Caenorhabditis elegans: one gene and its partner. The protein of the gene in region 1 interacts with the protein of each later gene in a biochemical or structural test. Each region holds a gene or a part of one and is shown on either strand. Other genes may lie near its edges. The genes, in order: ifp-1 and ifa-1.

Region 1 (6,862 bases):
GTAAGTGGAAGACAGGCGCGCCGATAATGAGTTATGATATGAGTTGTCTATGCCTTTACTCAACCCACACAAACACCCCCGTTAATTAATGAGTGAATCATTTTAAATTTAAACTTGATACGGTTCACTTTTAAATGATAATAATCAACTTTTATCTCATCTGAGGTACTTTTTTGTACTTGGAACAGTTTTTAAAACATTATTTTCTTGGGTCACTCAAAACAGTCCAACGAATAAAATTGGTTTAGCAATAATTGACCGCACGGGAAAGCAATATTTTTACTTGGAAGTTGAAGTGTATTGCCAGATGAACTAGTGGAAAATACTCTGTAGCTTAACCGTTTATTTTTGAAAAAAAAAACCGCTGGAATTTTGTGAAGAAAAAATAGAATTCAAACTTCCATCAAAACTGATTTTCAAAAAAAACAAAAGCTGAAAACTGCTTCTTCTCTTTAAATAATTTCGATTTTAATCTCTAATTTTTGAATAAAAAAAAATTACATTTAGCAGAGTTTCGAAACAGAGCAGATGTTTATAATTGAATCGGGGCAAGTGAGCTTTTTTTGAGTAATAGGTTTATTTTAAATTCAGAATATGAAAGAAATACGAATTACTGGGATTGAATTAAAGAATTATTTCCTTTTTCAAGAAGTGAGTGGAAAAAAATAGGGGCAACGAGTAGAAGTTTCTTGATAAAAAGTGTGAAAAATGAAAACAAGAGAAAATAAAATATATATTTGTTGTTAGAATTATCATGTTATCAGAAATTTGGCATTAGTAATGTATCAATGATGATGATGGTCTGCATCTCCGATTTCAGTGTTGCTCGTGTAAACAAACCACGATTTCACCTGAAATATAATTGGAGTAATCAAAGTTATTGGCAAGAGGCCAGATGTCAATCAGTTGTGTTTACAATTGTAAATCAAAGACTATTTACCTCATTATTCGTGTTTCTGATTGATGTATTGGTATGGATGGTGGTATCGAAGAAGTCAATTTCAGCAATAACTGCTCCTCTTTCATGAGTTGCTCCACGAGCGTAGATCTGTAAAAAATAATTTACAGTTTCTAGTTTATCGGTGACATAGAAGTAGTATTCAGTTTTGCGCCGTTTGAAAAAAAACAATTTTTTTTTTCTACAAGTTAACACTGTTTTCAAAGCAAATCAACTTGAATTTGTGAATTCTAGGATCCTGAATGCTATTATATAAGAACTGATAAACTACACTAGAAAAAGCATAACCTTCAAGCTATCCTTGGGTGCAAGGATCAATCCAACTGGAAGATCAACATATACGCTCTTGTTTCCAAACTCGTGAATAAGTTTGAAGCCACCAACGTCTGCCGATTTTTTCGAGCTTCTATTTACAAGTTGAACAAAATCTGCAGTCACATCCTGTAAGAATTGTTCAGTCCTAATAATATTAAAAAGCAAAGAGTGTTACCGAAATCTTCACTCTCCCCTTGTACCATCTAGTGAATCTCTGGAAGTTGTCCTCGTCAACACTATCGGAACCTGGAATGCGTTTCTTTGTATTTTTTTATAAATATTTTTCTAGCGTGATAGTTCTCTCAACTGTCGTTACATAATACACGTAACAGTAAACTTTTAATCGTAAACGTTATTTTACGATTCGTTTGTGGTGGTTGTGTACGTTTGTCTTATCAGTAACTCTTTTTTCAAACTAATCTGGAAAAAACTAAAATGGTATGATACGATAGTTTTCGACAGCTTAAAAACGTCTCAAAGCTTAGCATTTGACGAGGTGTTGTCAGTCAATATTAAAAGCCGTCTTCCACTCACTACTGCTATGTTCAATTGATCCTTCATTGAGTAGAGTAGTGGAGATGCTATTGCTCACTGAGCCTGTTGCTGCATGATAGCTCGAATGATGTGGCCCTCTTTGGCTCGAGTTCCGATTAAAAGTATCGTAGTATGAGGGGACAGTAGCTCCTTCAGTCACTGGCGTAATTAGCGGGAAGTTGCTATTAATATGAGTGTAACCGGGAGCACGTTCATTAAAAATTGTAGGCTCAACTCGAGGAACGGCACCACCAATTGGATAAGGTTGATGTAAAGCATCGTTGCGACGAATTTCACTATCACGACGTTCGCTTGCAATCCTATCATTGACCGATGAAGTTGGAGTACGAGACGCGTATGGATTGTTAATCTGTGTTGTGTTAATCTGACCTCCCGCGCTAAGGTCTCTCACTAATCGGGTGTTATCTGAAGCACGAATTGTTTCAACCGAATGGCTTGGCAGAACCGGAAGTGTGCCTTGGAGAGTCTCGATTTGAATTCTCTCCCTGAGAGAAGATCGGCTATCAGCACGAGACTCCTGCTGGTACGGAGTATATGATGGACGAATCGGGCTCGCGTCCCTCGAATAAGTATATTCACGAATTGGTTGAACAGGAAGTGTAGCAGGAATTGGAATTGGCGTGTGAGTGATGGTCTCATGAATAGTGGTACCAGTTCTGGACGACGAGGAATCTCTCACAGCGTGATGAGCAGTGTGCTGAACTATTCCAGAAGAAGTTCGGCTATGGTGGTCAGAAATGCTGCTGTAGTTCTGTCGACTAAGCGCGCTTGCTATAACTTGAGTACTTGGCGCATTTGCACGAGGATCTCCAGATCTGTCGAGAAGTTCCCGATATTTTGCGATTTCCTTTTGCAAGTCCTGAAAACGTTAACAATTTAATAAACACACAAAATAATACAACATACAATGTTTAAGTCACAAAGTTTCTCCAATTCAACACTGATGGCAGTGCATTGCTCTCTCATCTTCTCAATTTCCTTTATTTTGAATTCCAAAGTATCCTCGAAAAGCTTGTTATTTTCCGAAATTTCCAGACGATAGAATTCAATTTGTTGAGTGAGAGAATTGTTCTGAAAATTACACAATCATCATGGAAAATAATTTCAAATTCTCACTCTGATTTCAACTTCAGAAACTTGTTTCTGCAATCCAGAAAGATTGTTCTTAACAATCGAAAGCTCCTCTCTCAGTTTGTCATAGCAAACTACTCCTGGCATAGTGGTATTCATTCGATGGATTTCCCTTTCCAAGCGAATTCGAATTTCTTCTTCGTTTCTCAATCTGTTAGCCTCATAATCAGCACGAATATCAGCAATTGCCTTGCGAAGTTGATCGCGGAAGACGTGACGATCCGCATTGCGATCACGAACAAAGTATTTGTGCTCATTCATGATAATCTTTTTGTTGTCTTCCTCCATATTTCGGATACTGTGCAACAACTCATTCTTGCGAAGAAGATATTCTTGTTGCAGACTGACAGCTTGATCTTTTCTCTGAATATAGAGAATTCACAGTCGATAATGAATAAGATAATGAGTCAAACTTCTTAACTGTGTTGACAAAAAATTTAGCTTATCACAAGGAACCTCGCGTTTTTTGAGAGGCAGTGCAAGTCTTTCATGACATTCACGCTACTAACTGAAAAACAGAAAACTTGAGCCAGCTAAGTTTTTTGTATGTTTTTTTTTTTTAACAGATAGTTTTTGGCTCAAAATTATATTTAGCATTACAATCATTATTTCCGTGTTGGGCGAAATGAAAACAAATCATTTCGAAAAAATAAAAAAATAAGTTTTTGAAAAAAAAAATTTATATATGTACCTACTGAATATATTTCAACAATCAAAATACCAGTGTGATTTAAATCTATCCCAAAAAACTGATATCCGAAAAGTTCTTATGAGTTTTTTTTCCAAATCTATCAAATTGAACCTCTATTGTTTTTGCATGTATTAACAGTCTTTTAAAAAATCGAACCCACCATTCTCATCAAATTAATATGCTCAAAAATTCTTCCATTGTTCTGTTTGATCAGTCTGAGCTTATCCTCCATATACTTGATTCTTCTCTTAGTGATACAATCTTCCATCTTGATATGACAGATTCTATGGAACTCATCATCAACCTCTTTGGGAACCCCCAAAGCTGATTTTGCAGTGTGTCTCCAAAGTTGTTCGGCTTCTTTGACTTGATGGGACAACTGGGTTTGCTCATTTAGTAGTTCGTGCCGGCTTCGGTTAATTTCTTCAATTCCCGATCTGACAGTCTGAAAAACAATGATAATATTGATACATCGTATGAATTAATTGTATACTTCAAATTGTTTTTAATCAGAAGTTTCATTTTTTACAGCTGACCAGAATGATAGTATGTTTGCTATCAATAGTAGGCGGCTTGCACGTTTCTAGTTGCCACTCCCTTTATTCTCTAATGATAATTAAAGAAATGAATTCTTCGGAAACAAACGATCGTAAAGATTATTGTTTGTAGTTAACGCGACACGCAAGCAAAGGAAATTATCGTACTCTACGAAAGAGCACAACTTCAATGTACTTTTAAGTCATTAAAACTGTAGGCTTCGTTTCTTTTAACGAGTAAACAAGTTCATCGCCGCTAAAACTTGTGTGAGGGAAACTGATGGTTTCAGCCCACACAGAAAGTAAATAGTGAAAACTGATAGCGCACAAAGAACAAGAATGCTGGAAGCGTGAATAAGACAGCTGCAACAATTGACACTCACCCTGATCTCAACATTGTAAATTTCATTAATTCCACTACTGTCGCTCTGGACTCCACTTTTTAGCAAATTGTAGTCGTGTTCCAAAGCAGTGTGCTCAGCTTCCATATAGTGGACCTGAAAATATTAAATATTTTGTTTTACAGTACATAGAAGAGATGATAGGCAATAACACAAACTCACATGTTCGATGATATCCACAAACTGATCGTTGAGCTGAACAAGGTCTTGTCGCTCAGAGAGCTTAGCTCTTGCCAGATGTAGTAGACAATCCCTAGCGTTAGCGGAATCCATGCGCTGAAACAGTAACCATAAGACCAGAAAGCAAGAAAATTCTAAAAGCAAAATGAAAAATTATAAAAGTGCGACTTGAAAGGACAAAAAATTGCAGAATAAGCAGAAAATAATCGAGTGCGTAAAACTTCTTATCAAAACTTGAAAAGGTGAATTAAAAAATGCAATAGGTGTACGAGCACGAGTGAAAACCGCGAATTTTCACAGTCGTGATGACAGGAAACCGAATCGACTCTTGGAAAATGTTTAATGGCATGCCATTGTGATAGTAAAGTAGGTGAAGAATGCTAGTGAGCATGTTTCACTCGGTTGGCGGTACTTTAGCACGTTTCTTATCACTATTAAAATAAAGAGCTATTTGAAGCGAGAGATAGATGAATCAAGAGGGAGAAGACATTTGTGTGGTCTATGGAGATGAGGGGGAGAGACTGATGCACCGATGTGGAGCAATCAAACTGTACTAACAATGGTGTAATTGTTGTAGGAGGTGGAAATGATTCATTGCAAGTTGCAAATATTAATTTACAGGATAATGTTTTTTACATTTCAGGAAGTTCGAGAAACTGAGTCATTTGTTAAAATACTTTTTATTTAGAAACTCAGTAATTTCTCCAACCTATTGAATTGAAGCTCTGGGCTTCAATTCAGCCCATTTCCGATTTGTTTTAAACATAATCAACTTACCTGGTTAATTGAGAGAACTCATGTAGAAACCATATATTTATTAAAAACAAATTCATCTTCACATTCAGCCGTATAATTGGCCAAAGAATAAATTTTACAAAAAATTTGCTAATGAAAATTTTTTCGCACGCAAAAAAAAAACAGTTATGCCGCTTTAGCTCCTCGAATTCAAAATGCTCCTTTTTCAAATTTGTTTCTATTTTTAATGATACTTCCATAAGTCTAAAAAATAAAAACGTGTGGAATATTTTTTAATTTTAAGCTTAGAAAATAGCCATTTCTAAGCCCAACGAAGAATGATGCGTACCACGTTTATATTGAAAGGAGAAATTAATGAAAGCTCAATTTAAATTTTAAATGAGGGCATACATAAAACACACAAGTACCGATTTTTTAATGTTCAATAGCTTTTGTTTTTTTGTTTTTCCAATGTGAAAACTGCATTTTCTATTGGTAATTTGTGAATCATAGTTACTTTACGCAAAATAACTGATAAGGAATCCTTGAACTGCTCAGGACTTCTCTATTAAAAGAATCAGCAAGGAAAAAATTCCCTGTTTCTTTCTTTTTTCTTTACTGTATTCTTGTATTGAATATATTCAAAAAGTGCGACAACTATGACGCCCACTTGCTTCTTTTCCGGTTTTCGTTTTGTTCATCATCACTCTTCGAGCTCTGAGATCAAAAACACGCCTGGAAGAAAGAACAAAATTAGTATTCCTCAACGAGTACAAATGCCTTTCCAGTTGGTACGCACATTTCTTGGGTAAATGTCGTTTGCTCCTAAACAATTGTCGGAAATTTTTTTGTGTTCAGTGTGATCAATGTTTTTTTATTGTTTTACAAATGTTTTTTTATTGTTCGTGTTAGGAAAGTGAAAAATAACATATTTACAATTAAAAATAGGATGAGTTCCGGGTTAAAACACTTAAAGGTGGAGTGCGGTCAATGGGGAAATTGCTTTAACAAACATTTTGCATTTATCGTGCTTTTCAGTTCTCTTTACTATAAAAATACAGGAATAATTAAGAAAATCAGTGAAATAATGAGAAAAATAAAATAAATTAATAAAAAAATAATGCAAGTACGCTCCATCGAACAAATCCAATTGGCGGAAGTTCAAATAGGAATTAGGGGTAAACTGAGATTTTTTCATTTTTCAAAAAATCATTTAAAATCTTAAAAATTTGTTTGTTTTTTTTAATCATGATATTGGTTATTTTTTTGGCGATCGGCGATTACCAATTGCCGAAAAAACTTGCCCATCAGCGATCGGCGTGCGTCTATTTTTTTTTCAAATGTAAAAAATCAATTTTAA
Region 2 (5,385 bases), 1.6 Mb from region 1:
TTTTGTACTGCAACCATCGCAGTGTCCCCGACTTTCACACGATCTCTCGCTCATTTTAGACCGGTTGACAGTAGATGATCCTCAGTAATTATGAAGTTTCACCTGCCACGGGGCCGCCGTTTTCTATGCATTTGCTACTGCCTCATCTCTTTGCCGCTGCCATTTATTTTTGTTTACTGTACACATCATTCTGTTCCATTTTAACCCCTCTCCCTTTTACTATGTACTTTTCGAAAATTGTTCAATAGCCGAGAGCCCTGGATGTTTGAGCCGAGATATCTTTTTTATGTACACCGCCATGCTGGAACGCAGAGAAAACTGTTTATCTTCCCATTTTTCCAGAAACTCGTTCAAACGGATACTTCTCTCAGTGAGAAGCGGTACCTAACCAATCAACATTTCAAAAATGATGGAGATTACCAGAGAAAGTGAGTTTCTTCATTTTAACTACTTAAATTATTCCGATGACTTTCCAGGAGGTGAGTTGCGGAATGTTTGCCTTTGTATTTCGCGGTAAGGTGCTTACCATAGACTAACAAATCTAACTGATCAGCGATTGAAAATTCAAAACTTTGAAAAAATAACATTACAGGCATGCGTTTTTTAAAGAAAAAAGATTAATGAAACAGTGAGATAAGACGGAGTGCAAGATGAACAAGCACATCGGTAAATAAGAGGCTCGTTTCTTGTGCCTTGTCGCAATTTTTTATTGAGATATCTTTCCGATTGTCATTGAAGCATCACATTTATCCGCATAGGCTTATCTTATACTAGTGAATATTTTTGCAACTAGATCCTACTACTTTTTTATATAAAAATGTACACTACTACTCGTCCGGGTAAGTAACTGGCTGAAAATTGCATTCACTTCGGCAAAATAAATTATCTAACAGGAGTTTATTTACAAAAACTTGGTAGATCATTTCTGAATGTATATATAGTTTAAAAAACATCACTTTTTTTTAGACCTGAGCAATTTAAATACTCTTGCTAATATAAAACACCGTGTTTGCTGAAAAAATACAGTGTTTTACATAGTTAAAGCTCAATCCGTTGCTTGAATTTCATTTAAACGAATCCATATTCAATCTTGAAAGTGACAGAAGTAGAATAGGAGTGTTCCCAGATTTAATCGCTTTTGTGAAAACCAGACAACTAACACATATTCTCGCAACTTATATATGTAGGTGTTTCTAAACTTTTTCAAACATATTTGCACCGTTATTCCATTTGAACTAGTCATCAATCAATAAACTACTCGTGAGTACTCAAAGTTAATTCAAGGCTAATTTTCTTCTCACTTCAAATTTTTGAACAATTTTGTACAAACATATATTCCGAGGCGTTGTCTAGTTTTTGTCTCCTCTTCCACAAAAGTGCGTAGGCACGGTAGCAAATTGAAATGAATCACCTCAACCCAAAAAAATCTCAAATGTCATTTCGCACTTTAGCAAAGCCTCGAAACGTATGAATTTATGCAAAAACGCATGTCCAATAGGCGAAAAAAGTAGAATCGAGAGGAATCGTAACGACGTAAGGGTTGACTGAGTTGAGGATGAGATGATTTTTGGAGGACGCGCCCATCCCTCACACCTATTCTTTTTTCCGCATTCGCGCCAGATATCAAGAAGCCGCCGTTCCGTCCTCACTTCACACCCATTTTAAAGTGATTCTTGACGCCTCCCTTTGCAAAAAAATTCCAAACACCGACTTGAATCAATATAAATATACATAGGCAAACAACTATGATCTCATTTCCTTTCGTGGAAAAGGGCAATAATAATATTTGATTGAGTTTTCTATTTCTCCTCATAGATTTTCATAGGTTACTCATAGGTTTTTTTCTCTTTATACAACAGTCTAGAATACTGAAATATATTAATTTTGCATTGCCTGTTTTGTTCTGCCGCCATGTATAAAAAGAGTTGAGGAACAAAAAATTTCATTTTCTGACTATGGAAGGTTATATTGTTTCTCTTCCATCTTCGCGACGATCAAGCGCTTCTAGCGCTCGAAGCGAGCAAAGTTCCACACGAACTGTCAATTACGAAGTGATTGAAAAGAGTAAGCCTTTCTTGTGCCCTCAATTTCAACTAACTCAAAAAATTGCAATTTTCGTTTAATCCCTTTTGTCTACATGCTATTATCATTAGTGTGGGAGGAAGCTGCGGTTGGTAGCAATGAAGGAGGAGGAGTAGAAAATGTTGAATAAAAAGTGAGGAGCAGTGCAAGAAATTTGACGCCCACCTAGTTTGCGCACCGTTGAGACTCCGCTTTTGTCTCTACAGTCAGCCTCCGACTAATTCCTTGGTCACACATTACGGCAGTCAGGGGTTGCCATACAACTCACAACCTCATTTTGAAATTTCGAAGCTGCCGAGTACAGTCGGCCCTTTTCACTTTCACAATAGAAATTTACGATTTGCAGCGATGTCTTTCACTTCCACAACACCTTCAGCTAGAGCTCCGCTCGGAGGGCGTACAACCGGAAACGTTACTTGTAAGTTTATTGTTGTCTGTGCAAAACATTTAAATCAACATATTCCAGCCCAAGATCGTATGCTCAAAATTGTGACCGAGATGCGCTCAGGTGCTGGATCCGGCTTGTCGCCATTTGGACAAAATGCTGCATCAACCATCCGTGACTCTCGTGAACGTGAGAAGAAAGAAATGAGCGATTTGAACGATCGACTTGCTAGCTACATCGAAAAGGTGTGTAATAGGAATAAGATGGACCACACCCAATAGTTGTTTTTTAGGTCCGTTTCCTAGAAGCCCAGAATAGAAAATTGGCAGCCGATCTTGACGCACTTCGTTCCAAATGGGGAAAAGACACGCACAACATTCGTAATATGTATGAGGGAGAACTTGTGGTAGGAAAATACAGAAAGGAAACTTTTGGTTAGAAAACTATATTATAGGATGCTCAAAAGCTGATTGATGAAACCAATAAGCAACGCAAGGATATGGAAGGTCAACTCAAGAAGATGCAAGATGAACTCGCTGAGATGCGCAGAAAGTACGAACATATGTTTTGAAAATTATGAACAGCATATTACCGTTATTATACTTTTTCTACAAAATGTATTTTTCAGATTGGAAGATGCCACCAAGGGCCGTGAACAGGATCGCGCTAAGATCGACGCACTTCTAGTAACCCTTTCTAATCTTGAAGCTGAAATTAGCCTTCTGAAACGTCGTATTGCTCAGCTTGAGGATGAGGTGAAGCGGATCAAGCAAGAGAATCAGCGTTTGCTTTCTGAGCTTCAAAGAGCCCGTACCGACTTGGATCAAGAAACCCTCAATCGTATTGACTACCAAAACCAAGTTCAAACTCTTCTTGAGGAGATTGATTTCTTGCGTCGTGTCCATGACAATGAGATCAAGGAGCTTCAAACTTTGGCTTCTCGTGATACTACTCCAGAAAACCGCGAGTTCTTCAAGAACGAACTCTCCTCGGCTATTCGTGACATCCGTGAGGAATATGACCAAGTCAACAACGTTCACCGTAATGACATGGAATCCTGGTATCGTCTTAAGGTCCAAGAGATCCAAACGCAGTCTGCCAGACAGAACATGGAACAAGGGTATGCCAAAGAAGAAGTCAAAAGACTCCGCACCCAACTCAGCGATTTGCGTGGAAAGCTCGCTGATCTTGAAAGCCGCAACTCTCTCCTCGAGAAACAAATTCAAGAGCTCAACTACCAATTGGAAGATGATCAGAGATCTTATGAAGCAGCCCTCAACGACAGAGATTCCCAAATCCGCAAAATGCGTGAGGAATGCCAAGCCCTTATGGTCGAATTGCAAATGCTCCTGGATACCAAACAAACTTTGGATGCCGAAATCGCCATCTACAGAAAGATGCTCGAAGGAGAAGAGAACCGTGCTGGACTCAAGCAACTTGTCGAACAGGTTGTCAAGACCCATGCTATCACACAGGAAACCGATACCGGTAGCAGAAAGACAATTTTTTCCATTAAAACATACATCCTTTTTCAGAGACGATGAGAGTCGTCAAGGGCGAAACTGCATCCCGTCAATCGTTCCAGCGTTCTGCAAAGGGAAATGTTTCTATCCACGAGGCATCGCCGGATGGAAAGTTCATCGTCCTCCAGAACACACATCGTGCCAAGGACGAGGTAGGAACTTGAATCACAACAGTTTCAAATATTTTTTGTTCTCTTTCAGGCTATCGGTGAGTGGAAGTTGAAGAGACGTATCGACGGAAAACGTGAGAATGTCTACACGCTTCCAAGAGACTTTGTCCTTCGTGCCGGAAAGACCCTCAAAATCTTCGCCCGTAACCAAGGAGTTGCCTCACCACCAGATCAATTGGTCTATGATGCTGAAGACTCGTTCGGAAGCGGAAACAACGTCCAAACCATCCTCTTCAACAAAGAAGGAGAGGTGAGATCAACAATTAAATGTCATTATATTTACAACATTGATATTAATTTCAGGAACGTGCTACCCACATCCAACGCCAGAGCACTGCCTAATCAGGCGACTTCCCAACAATTAACTAGATATTGTGACAATTTCTTGTTGAAAATCCCAAAATCTTCTTCCCATTTTGTAACTTTCATGCTGATTTCTGCGCATTTATTTGACCTTATTTCAATAAATCATTTATCATTCAAACATCAAAAAAAAATTTGATCACAATGTATTTGCGTAGGTTATTTTCATAGAACAGATGATGTAAAATTCTCAAAATCGTCGGAATTCGCCCACCTGAAATGGAAGCGTATGTTTTTGGTTACTAATCAATAGAGCTGAACGAAATGCCGTAAATAATTGTATATCGGCGAGATGAGCCGACGTCGACATCTAAAACTCGCGTTACTGAGAAGTTTAAAGTGTTGTCCTTCTTAAAATTCCAGTTGCACGAATATAATGTTTTAAATTTTTAAATATAATTTTGAAGTAGGAGCGTATGCCAAACAAGGGAAAATATTTTGAAACTATGGTCACTGCGCTTGATTCGAGAAAATGAAGCTACTACAAAACTGTCTAGGGTTTTAACAAAATATTTTTCCGCTGGAATTGTTACCAAATACTTTTTCAGCGTTCCATCTAAAAGCACATCTATTGCATTTTTAAATGAGCTTTAAATTTGCACTGAGCACTACAGTTTGCTATATTATTTCAATAAAAAAATAGAAAGCGATTTTGAGATATGTATGCTTTTTGTGTTCTTCTGACTGTCAGAAATTAATATTCGTTATTCGTTGTACAGCGGTTACCAAAAAACTTGTGACAACTAGACCAGTGATAAACGAATTGATTCGGCGATTTCTGTAAATGCTCCATTAAGAAAATTAAATTTTACTTGACAGACGGTGAATTTTTGCTGAATTCCTTGAATCAAAAGAAACATTC

What was found.
Region 2: the proteins of ifp-1 (region 1) and ifa-1 form a complex in vitro, tested with the Caenorhabditis elegans proteins (one study listed by BioGRID).

The regions. Positions count from the first base shown.
Region 1 is NC_003284.9:9,675,307-9,682,168, forward strand, and holds ifp-1 (Intermediate filament protein ifp-1), read right to left. Parts: upstream 4,864-6,862; 5' UTR 4,861-4,863; coding exon 4,750-4,860; intron 4,684-4,749; coding exon 4,570-4,683; intron 4,096-4,569; coding exon 3,811-4,095; intron 3,323-3,810; coding exon 2,945-3,322; intron 2,900-2,944; coding exon 2,735-2,899; intron 2,688-2,734; coding exon 1,808-2,687; intron 1,520-1,807; coding exon 1,449-1,519; intron 1,400-1,448; coding exon 1,247-1,399; intron 1,049-1,246; coding exon 941-1,048; intron 852-940; coding exon 786-851; 3' UTR 567-785; downstream 1-566. UniProt on the Caenorhabditis elegans protein: Cytoplasmic intermediate filaments provide mechanical strength to cells. Not essential protein.
Region 2 is NC_003284.9:11,270,842-11,276,226, forward strand, and holds ifa-1 (Intermediate filament protein A), read left to right. Parts: upstream 1-1,955; coding exon 1,956-2,064; intron 2,065-2,428; coding exon 2,429-2,500; intron 2,501-2,548; coding exon 2,549-2,712; intron 2,713-2,759; coding exon 2,760-2,873; intron 2,874-2,921; coding exon 2,922-3,019; intron 3,020-3,095; coding exon 3,096-3,955; intron 3,956-4,002; coding exon 4,003-4,142; intron 4,143-4,191; coding exon 4,192-4,410; intron 4,411-4,463; coding exon 4,464-4,502; 3' UTR 4,503-4,641; downstream 4,642-5,385. UniProt on the Caenorhabditis elegans protein: Cytoplasmic intermediate filaments make up the structural component of the cytoskeleton providing mechanical strength to cells.